Alligator mississippiensis: one gene and its partner. The protein of the gene in region 2 purifies or fractionates together with the protein of the main gene of each other region. This does not show direct contact. Links are inferred from orthologs where the notes say so. Each region holds a gene or a part of one and is shown on either strand. Other genes may lie near its edges. The genes, in order: ATXN7L3 and TADA1.

What was found.
Region 1: the proteins of TADA1 (region 2) and ATXN7L3 purify together in Homo sapiens (affinity purification with mass spectrometry; 6 studies listed by BioGRID and IntAct, counting the BioPlex papers as one, with this or other methods). This does not show direct contact. The link is inferred for Alligator mississippiensis from reciprocal best matches to the Homo sapiens genes TADA1 and ATXN7L3.

What each region holds. Positions count from the first base shown.
Region 1 is NC_081827.1:159,444,724-159,448,629, forward strand, and holds the start of ATXN7L3 (ataxin-7-like protein 3), read left to right. Parts: upstream 1-1,731; 5' UTR 1,732-1,915; intron 1,916-3,906. UniProt on the Homo sapiens protein: Component of the transcription regulatory histone acetylation (HAT) complex SAGA, a multiprotein complex that activates transcription by remodeling chromatin and mediating histone acetylation and deubiquitination.
Region 2 is NC_081828.1:43,836,646-43,840,551, reverse strand, and holds the start of TADA1 (transcriptional adapter 1), read right to left. Parts: upstream 2,750-3,906; 5' UTR 2,587-2,749; coding exon 2,513-2,586; intron 1-2,512. Other genes in the region: PRDX6 (peroxiredoxin-6), read left to right, coding at 2,925-3,016. UniProt on the Homo sapiens protein: Probably involved in transcriptional regulation.

The DNA of each region.
Region 1 (3,906 bases), on a different chromosome or scaffold from region 2:
GCTGGAGAAGGGGAGGGAATGAGAAGGAAGGAGTGGTGCCCACATTGGAGGGGAGGTGGTGGTGAGAGCAGGGTCAGGAGAGGGAGGTTTATCAGGGAGGACTCAAAAGTCCTGGGCAGCTGCTGCCGTGGACCTGTCTGCCTGGCTGTGGGGGCTGCATCCAGGCCTGCAGTGCTGGTGGCATCTATTACACCCCCTTGAATTCCTAGATCTGCCCATTGTATGGCACCAAGGGACTGGACTGAGCAAATGATTTCTGAAGCGAGGAGCAAAGTGGGCTGCCAAGCATCTGCACTCAGCAGGGCACAAGGGCTGTCAGCCGTGCAGCTCCCCTGCTGCTGCAGCCCTGTCCAGAATATTTTAAGCTTAGGTCCTAACTCCCTCACTGCCTTCTAAAAGACCTGCCTGCCTCATCCAGGTACTCCAAACAGCTTAGATGGGCTTTCAGATGTGTAAGGGCCACTGCACTGCCTTTTGTAAGCATGAGGCAAGGTGCACAGCGGTGGAGAGCCAGGCCATGTGGGTGCTGGAGGAAGTGGCATGTGGGGAGGGGATTGAGTCACTGGCCTTCTTGTGCCTGTATTTTAACAGCTCCAGAGTGGCACTAGATGTCGCTGTGCTACCCCAGAAGCTGGACTGGGAGCAGTCATTTATACATTCTCTGCACCAGGGAACAGCTGCTTGGTGACCCGGAGAGCCTTTGCTCCCATTGCCCTGGTGTACCTCACTAGAAAGGGAACCAGGCTGTTGGCTCTGGAGAAAGGGCTAATAGCTCTGAGCTCGATGGTGGGTCAAGGCAGTCTGGACACACTTTACGAGCATCAGAGTAGGGAGTAAACCCCAGCCCATTTCCTACTTTCCAGTGCAGGTACCTGCAGCCCCCCTCCATTTGATCCCTGCTTTGCGGCCCTGCCTTCGCACTACCCGTCCTCCTGCCTCCGAGAGGCCTGCGTGCCCTCAAACCAAACAGTGGGCAGGCTCTGGCCCTGAAGCAGCTGCCTTGGTGGGAGCGCATGCAACCAGCTTTGGCGCCTGCCTGTGCTTGCCTAGCAAGGCTGCGCCAGCGGCACTGGGGCCGTGGGGTAGCCAGCTTTCTCCCTTCCCCTTTCCCTGCTGCTGGGGCCTCTCCCTTCTTGGGCAGCTGTTGCAAGCCAGGGGCTGGTGGCGGGGGAGGCAGCATGGGCAGGCCCAGGGGCAGCCAGGGCAGCATTGGGCGTGTGGGTGGGGAGCCCCCTGGCCTAACGGAACACTTGCTATTATGGGCTGCCTGGCAGCGGTTGCTATGGCAGGCCAAGCAGGGGGAGTCTCCCCTCCCATCCCTGGGGAGCCCCGGAGCCCCCCGGCCCAACAGAACCCGGGCTGCTATTATGGGCTGCCTGGTAACGGTTGCTAGGGCCGGCCAAGCTCCAGCTGCACGAGCGCGGGGCTACTGAGAGGGAAGAGGCATCTACAGCGGCAGGTCAGCACCAGCCCGCGGACGGGCACGGCTCCCTCCCGCTGTGGATTCCCTACGGTCCGCGACAGGGTGGCGGAGAACTGGCGGCCCCTTTGTGCGCAGTTCGCCCGCCCCCGGCCCCGCCCCCACGCGGCGCACCGCAGCCTGAAACACAGCGGCCTCGCGGATTGGCCGCCGCCGCGCCGCCTCGCCCGCCCATTGGCCCGCCCGCGCCCAGCGGGGTAGGCTGTGCCTCTCGCCCCGCCGCCCCGGCTGCCAGTCCTACTGCCGCCGCGGCCCGGGCTGAGGGAGCGGGGCGGGGCAGAGCGGGGCGGGGCGTGCTCGGCCACCGCCCGCCGGGCCGGGCCGGGCATGGGGAGGCGGGGGCTGGGCATGGGGCGGCGCGGGCCGGGCGGGCGCCGCCGGGGCGGCCGGCACTGAGCGGCCGCCGGCAGCGCCGCACGGCACGGCACGGCCGGGGTGAGTCAACGCGCGGGCGGGCGGGGCCGTGGGAACAATGCGCGCAGGGCCCTGCCCCTGCCGCCCGGGCCGGGCCGGGCCGGGCCGGGGCAGGAAGCCGCGGCGTTTCCTCCCTGGCTGGCGCGGCGGGGGCCCGCCCCGCCCCGCCCCGGCCGCACAGCAGCGGCGCCGTGCTCAGCGGCGGCCGGAGGCTGCGGGGGGAGCTCCCCCGCCATGAGCTGAGCCCTGGCGCCGATGCCCCCCTTTGCGTTGGCCCGGCCCGGCCGCACTCGTGGCGGGGCAGTGCAGCCCGAAGCAGCCCCCGGCCGGCTCGGCCCGGCTCTGCGGGTCTGGCTGGCGGAGGACAGCACAGCCCCTAGCAGCCGTCTTTGGGCCACTGTTTGGCAGCAAACCCCGTTCTCCCAGCTCTGGCTCCGTCCTGGTGCGGAGCCTGCCTCGGCCCTGGCCGTCCTCACTCGTGCTGTGCCCAGGTGCCAGGACTCACCTGCTGCTCCCTGTCCCCCTGGCTGCCAAGGCAGGGAGGCTGTTTTCTAGGGAGGGCCTCTGCTGGCCTGGGAGAGGCCTTGTTTACCACGGCAAGCTGGCCTGAGGGACAGGCCCAGTTTCTGGGGGATGAAATGCCATGGCTCCTGTGGCTGGGTGCCTCCAGCCTGGAGCTGGGCACCCCTGGGCAGCTGACAGGTGTCATGCTGAGGCGGGTGCCCACTATTGGTATCCATCTGTAACGGGAGTCTGCAATGATGATGGAGACTCCCACCAAGACGTGGGCCCTGCCCTGAGAGATGCAGCACATCCCATGAGACAGATGTTCCCTGTTTTGAGGAGCCTGTAGTCTCAGCTGGCCAGACAAGGGGATCTTCTTCCCTGTGGAGCCTCAGCCATGCTGGTCATGTCAACAGAGTCAGTGTAGATGCAGCATGTGCTGAAGGGAGAGGTTTAAGACTTGCTTTCACTCTTCCCCCCTCTCCCCCCCCTGCAGCAGGTGTTAGTACAGCTGTGCCCTGATGGCAGGGATTGCTCTCATGGCAGGGGGATGGTAAAGGATCTTTATACAGCCCCTCTGACTGTCAGTGAAGCCAGGAGGTTGGAGGGGAGACAGGACCAGAGAGGGGCAGCAACTTGCCAGTGGTCACACAGCAGGGACAGCTCAGAGGGGAACCCAGGTGTCCTAAGTCTCTGTTATCAATAGGTCATGATATCTGCCTTCTCTGCCTAGGCCAAGGTCATACACAGGATGGAGAAAATGCCCCCTGAAGTATCCCTGGAGCTCTGTGCATGCCCCAGTGGCTCCCTGGGCCCTGCCCTCTCCTGTGTTTCAGGGGCTCTGCAGACCTTCCTTGTGCCCTGCACTAGGGGTTCTGTGGACTGCCCTGTGCTCTGCCATGACCACCGCTCTTTCTGCCGGAGAAAGGGAGGTTTGCAGAGCAGAAGTGGAGTTGGATGTTCACTGTTAGTGGTTGACACATACAAATTCTGTGCTGTGTAGAGAGTGCTGGACTTGGCTGAAGCTGGCAGGGCATTGTGTTCCCCCATCTCCACCAGATTTTATTTGCAAACACTTTGCTTACTGATGCCTAAAAGGATTGGGCAGGCAAGGCAGTGTTGCAGGCAGTGGGGTGGAGGGACAGTGTTTGGCAGCAGGGGCAGGGGCAGGTTCCGCTCCTGGCTCTGTCTGGCCTGGTGTCTGCTTCTGATTCCCATGCCTGTTAATGGGTTGAGGATGGGGGCAGGGCTTCCAAAGAGAGAATCTGTTCTGTGGGGTCGTCTTAGCAGCTCTTGTGTAGAAGGGGCCCTCCTAGGGACCAGGGAGCCATTGACAAACACTGGTGCCTGTGGCTTCCAGACAGAACAACCTCAGGATCACAGACCATGACTTCATCACTCTCCTGCCACCTCCAGGCTCTAGCATGAGCTGACCCTGCCTAGTGACCCCTGATGATAGATGACCTGCTGTGGGAAGGGGCAGCAGCCTCATCTCTGCTCTAGGTGGG
Region 2 (3,906 bases):
TTCACCTCCCAGTGACCTTACAAGTACCTGCTTCAATTAGCTTTGGTAAATAAAATAACCAAATCATAATTTTCTGATGTAGCTGCAAAATGAATCTGAAAAAAAACTCAAAATAAATCACCACTTTAAATGTATAGTGTACTTTCCAAAAATGAAAGCTACACCTATCTCAGAGTTGTGAATAATATGTATTAAGGTTATATCAAACAACAAGAATGCACTTTTTGTAGAAAACAGTGATTAAAATCGAGGTTCTCTGACCAGTTATTTAAATTGTGATTTAAATAGATTTAAATCAAGTCTACCCTGATGATGGGCATGTTTTTTGAGTGACAATAGTTCTTTATATTGGTGCTAGAACTGCTATTATAGCACTGATACTACTGCAACACCATTCTTTGACCTTAATGCTGTTTCTACACCCTTTGAGTTAAAATAATCAACTGGGGGGGGCGGGGGGATTGTGGGCTAAAGTTATGGCTTGCTACAAACACCACATAGCTCCATAGATCTCAAAACACATTTTACAGTGGATACAAATGCCATTGCCATTCTTTTGCAGATGGGGAAGCAGGTGCAAAGATGCAAAATGTTTTTCTGTGGAGCTGCATGAGAAAACAAGGAACTGAAGCCAACGGAACCTGCTTGATTTCCTGCAAGGCTGCTTATACAAACAGAAGCATGTAGCATGTTATTGAACCTGTAAAAAAGCCATTTGGGTTGGCTCTAGGGTGGGGGCTGCACTGGTGCATGTGTACCCCCTCTTTGATTCCTGGGTCCAAAGGTTAAAGCCAACTGCCTGGCAGTGGCTGCAGCATTTCTAGTCAGGCAATGTTGAGAAAGTCGCTTGGCTTCATGGCTTATTACCATCTAGCCCAGGGGTGGACAAAATGGTAGATCTGGCTGATGAATGAACTCCATTTCCCAGCAGCCCATGCCTGTGTGGAGACCCCAGCAGCAGCTAGGCTGTGATAGTGCAAGGCCAGAGTTTCCATGAAAACCAACCCCAGCAGCACTGGTAGGGTTCACAGCAGGGCGCAGAGCTGCTCCGGAGCCCAGCTGGGATCGTGCAGCAGTGACAATGTGGCCCAAAGCCAGGCCAGAGCTGTGATCTACAGCCTGCACGATCTGGGCAGGGTCCAGGCTCCTTGCAGTGGTGACAGTGTGGTCCAAAGCCAGTGCAGAGCCATGATCCACTGCCTGCACACCCCTGCCCGGAGCATGCAGGCTGCAGATTGCAGCTCTGCCCTGGCTCCAGACCATGCTGTCACCGCTGCAAGATCTCAGGCAGGCTCCAGAGCAGCTCCCTGCCCTCCCAGCAAGGGTGGCACTAGAGGGGGGATATAGCCACCCCAAAATTTCCAGTAGGCCCCTATAGCCTCCCCTCCAAGCAGCACCACCACTGCTGCCTGTCCTGCACAGGCATTGGCAGCTGAGCTTTCCCCGCTCCCACCTGCAGCACAGCCCCTCCCACAGGAAGAGTCTGGCACTGCTGCTGTCTGACAGTGCTGCTGCTGGGGCTAGTCTCCACAGAAACTGACCCCAGCCACCTGGGCAGGGACTACTGGGAAATGAAGTCCACTGACAGCTGAACTTTGCCCACCCTGATTACTTGATCCCTTCTAAACTCTTCATCCCACAGGCATTTTTAATTGTCTTGATGTTGCACCAATCAATCTAGCCTTTCCTCTGCCACGCTGCTGTCTCTTCACTGCTCCTGGTCACAAAGCTCCTATTCCACAACCCTCCCTGAAGTTGCCTTTTTTTAAACTTTCTTTTTGTTTCAGTCTTAAACTAAGGGCTCTGCTACATGTTCAAATTAAAGCCCAATCAAAACCGCCTCTACACTTGTTACACATTTTCAAGCACTCACTCTAGAGCAGGCCTGCTCTTTTTGTAGCTGCATAGTCCTTTTAATCCTGTGATCGTTACTTTGCAATTGTGGCCAGTCTACACCAGTTAATTGTGCAATAATGATTATTGTGCGCATGTGGCAGGGCTACATCTATTGCACGATTAATCGAGTAACTGTCTGATAAGTATTTCGCATGTGTGGCGGGTTTACTTTTATGGCACGACTGACCAGTTTACGGAGAGATACACGGGCCCTCCTGCACGGTCAAATGAAAGCGGGATAGAAACCAGCTCCATGTTTCTAAGCCCGACGCCTGCAGTGGGGCGGGATAATCACCGCGGTGCTGCGAGACCTGCCCCGCCCGTGGCCCGGCTCCAGCCCCTGCCCAGTAGGCAGCAGCAGCCCCGCGGCGGAGCCGGGGAACTCGGGCCCAGGCCCCTCGCCGGCGGGCAACGCTGCCAGGCTAGGCTTTGCAGGAGGGAAGGAAGGCGGCGGAGCGGGGCCGGCCTAGCTAAGCCCCCGGGCCCTGAAGCAGGGGCCCGGCGGGATGGCATGAGCCTGGGACAGGAGAAGGGGCTGCACACACGTCTGCAGCCCCAAGAGAGGGGCCGAGTGTCCGGGCGCGGATGCGGGGCGGGGCGGCCGGAGCGCACTCACTGCTTCACGTTCTCGCCCAGCGCCTCGCTCAGGTTCTTCTTGGCCGCCTCCAGCTCGCTCACGTAAGTCGCCATTGCTCGCGGCGGCAGCACCCGAGCTCCCGACCTCCCTCCCGCGCCGCGGCGCACGCTCGGCGGCGCGCGGCAACCGCGCAATCAACCCCGGCCGCCTCTTGTGTGTCGTAGCTACCGCCCGCGCCTCGCTTGCTTCCGGGATGTTGCGCTGGTCAGGGGGGGAGGGTCATGTAACACCCCCAACTCGGGGCGGGGCTGAGCCCGCGTCCGCTTCTGCCTGGGGCCCCGCCCCGCCCCCGCCCTGCTGCCGCGCAGCGACGCGCCGCGCCAGCACTCCCACGCAGCTGCTCTGTGCGCCGGGTGCTGCCACAGGCACAGCCACAGCCACAGTCATAACCATGCCGGGGCTGCTGCTCGGGGACGAGGCCCCCAATTTCGAGGCGGACACCACGTACGGCCGCATCCGTTTCCACGACTTCCTGGGGGACTCGTGAGTGACGGCGGGGACGGGACGGGGCGCTGGGCTGGGCTGGGCTGGGCTGGGCTCGGTCGGCTCGGCTCGGCTCCCGCGTCCCGCGGCGGGCTGTGCTTCCGAGAGGCGAGGGGCTGAGCCAAGCTGCCTGCCTCCTGTGCTGAGAGATGTGTTTATGTACGTGTAGCTAGACACGTATCTGCGCGCGCGCACACGTATTTGGGATTTAATTGCTTTTGGACTGAAATACTTATACATATAATATAGTATATAGAGGTGAGACAAATATGTGTGTGTATAGATGTGTGTGTGCGTGCGCATGTATTATATAAGTATAGCTATAAACATATATATACTTACACATATATAAGTATACTTACATATATGTGTGTGTGTGTGTGTGTGTGTATAAGTATATATATTTATAAGTATTTCAGTCAATTAAATTCCAATTTAAAAGCTAAAATACTTATACACGTAATTTAGTATACAGAAGTGATATATACATTATATATCTATATCCCTTTAGATAGAGAGGTAGATACCCCCACACACACGTACTTCCATCCTCTATATGCTGTATTGTATGTATAAGTATTTCAGTCCAAAGGCAATTAAATTCCAATCCCCAAATATCTCAGCCCCGTCTCCATGTCTGCCAATATCCCCCTGCTCTATTTTAAACCAGGCTGGCATCCTACATGCAAGCCCCAGGCCTGGGAATTCAGATGCCCCCATTAAACTTGATGGGAGCCGGGAGGGGAGTGCGCTGGGTCCTGTGGCATTTCCAGAGAAGCGGTGACTCTAGGCAGGGGCAGATCCAAGATTTTGAACAGGAGGGAGCAGTTGGTGAAGTGCATCATCACATATAGAGTAACACATTTTTCTCTGGTTCAGAAAGAAACCAG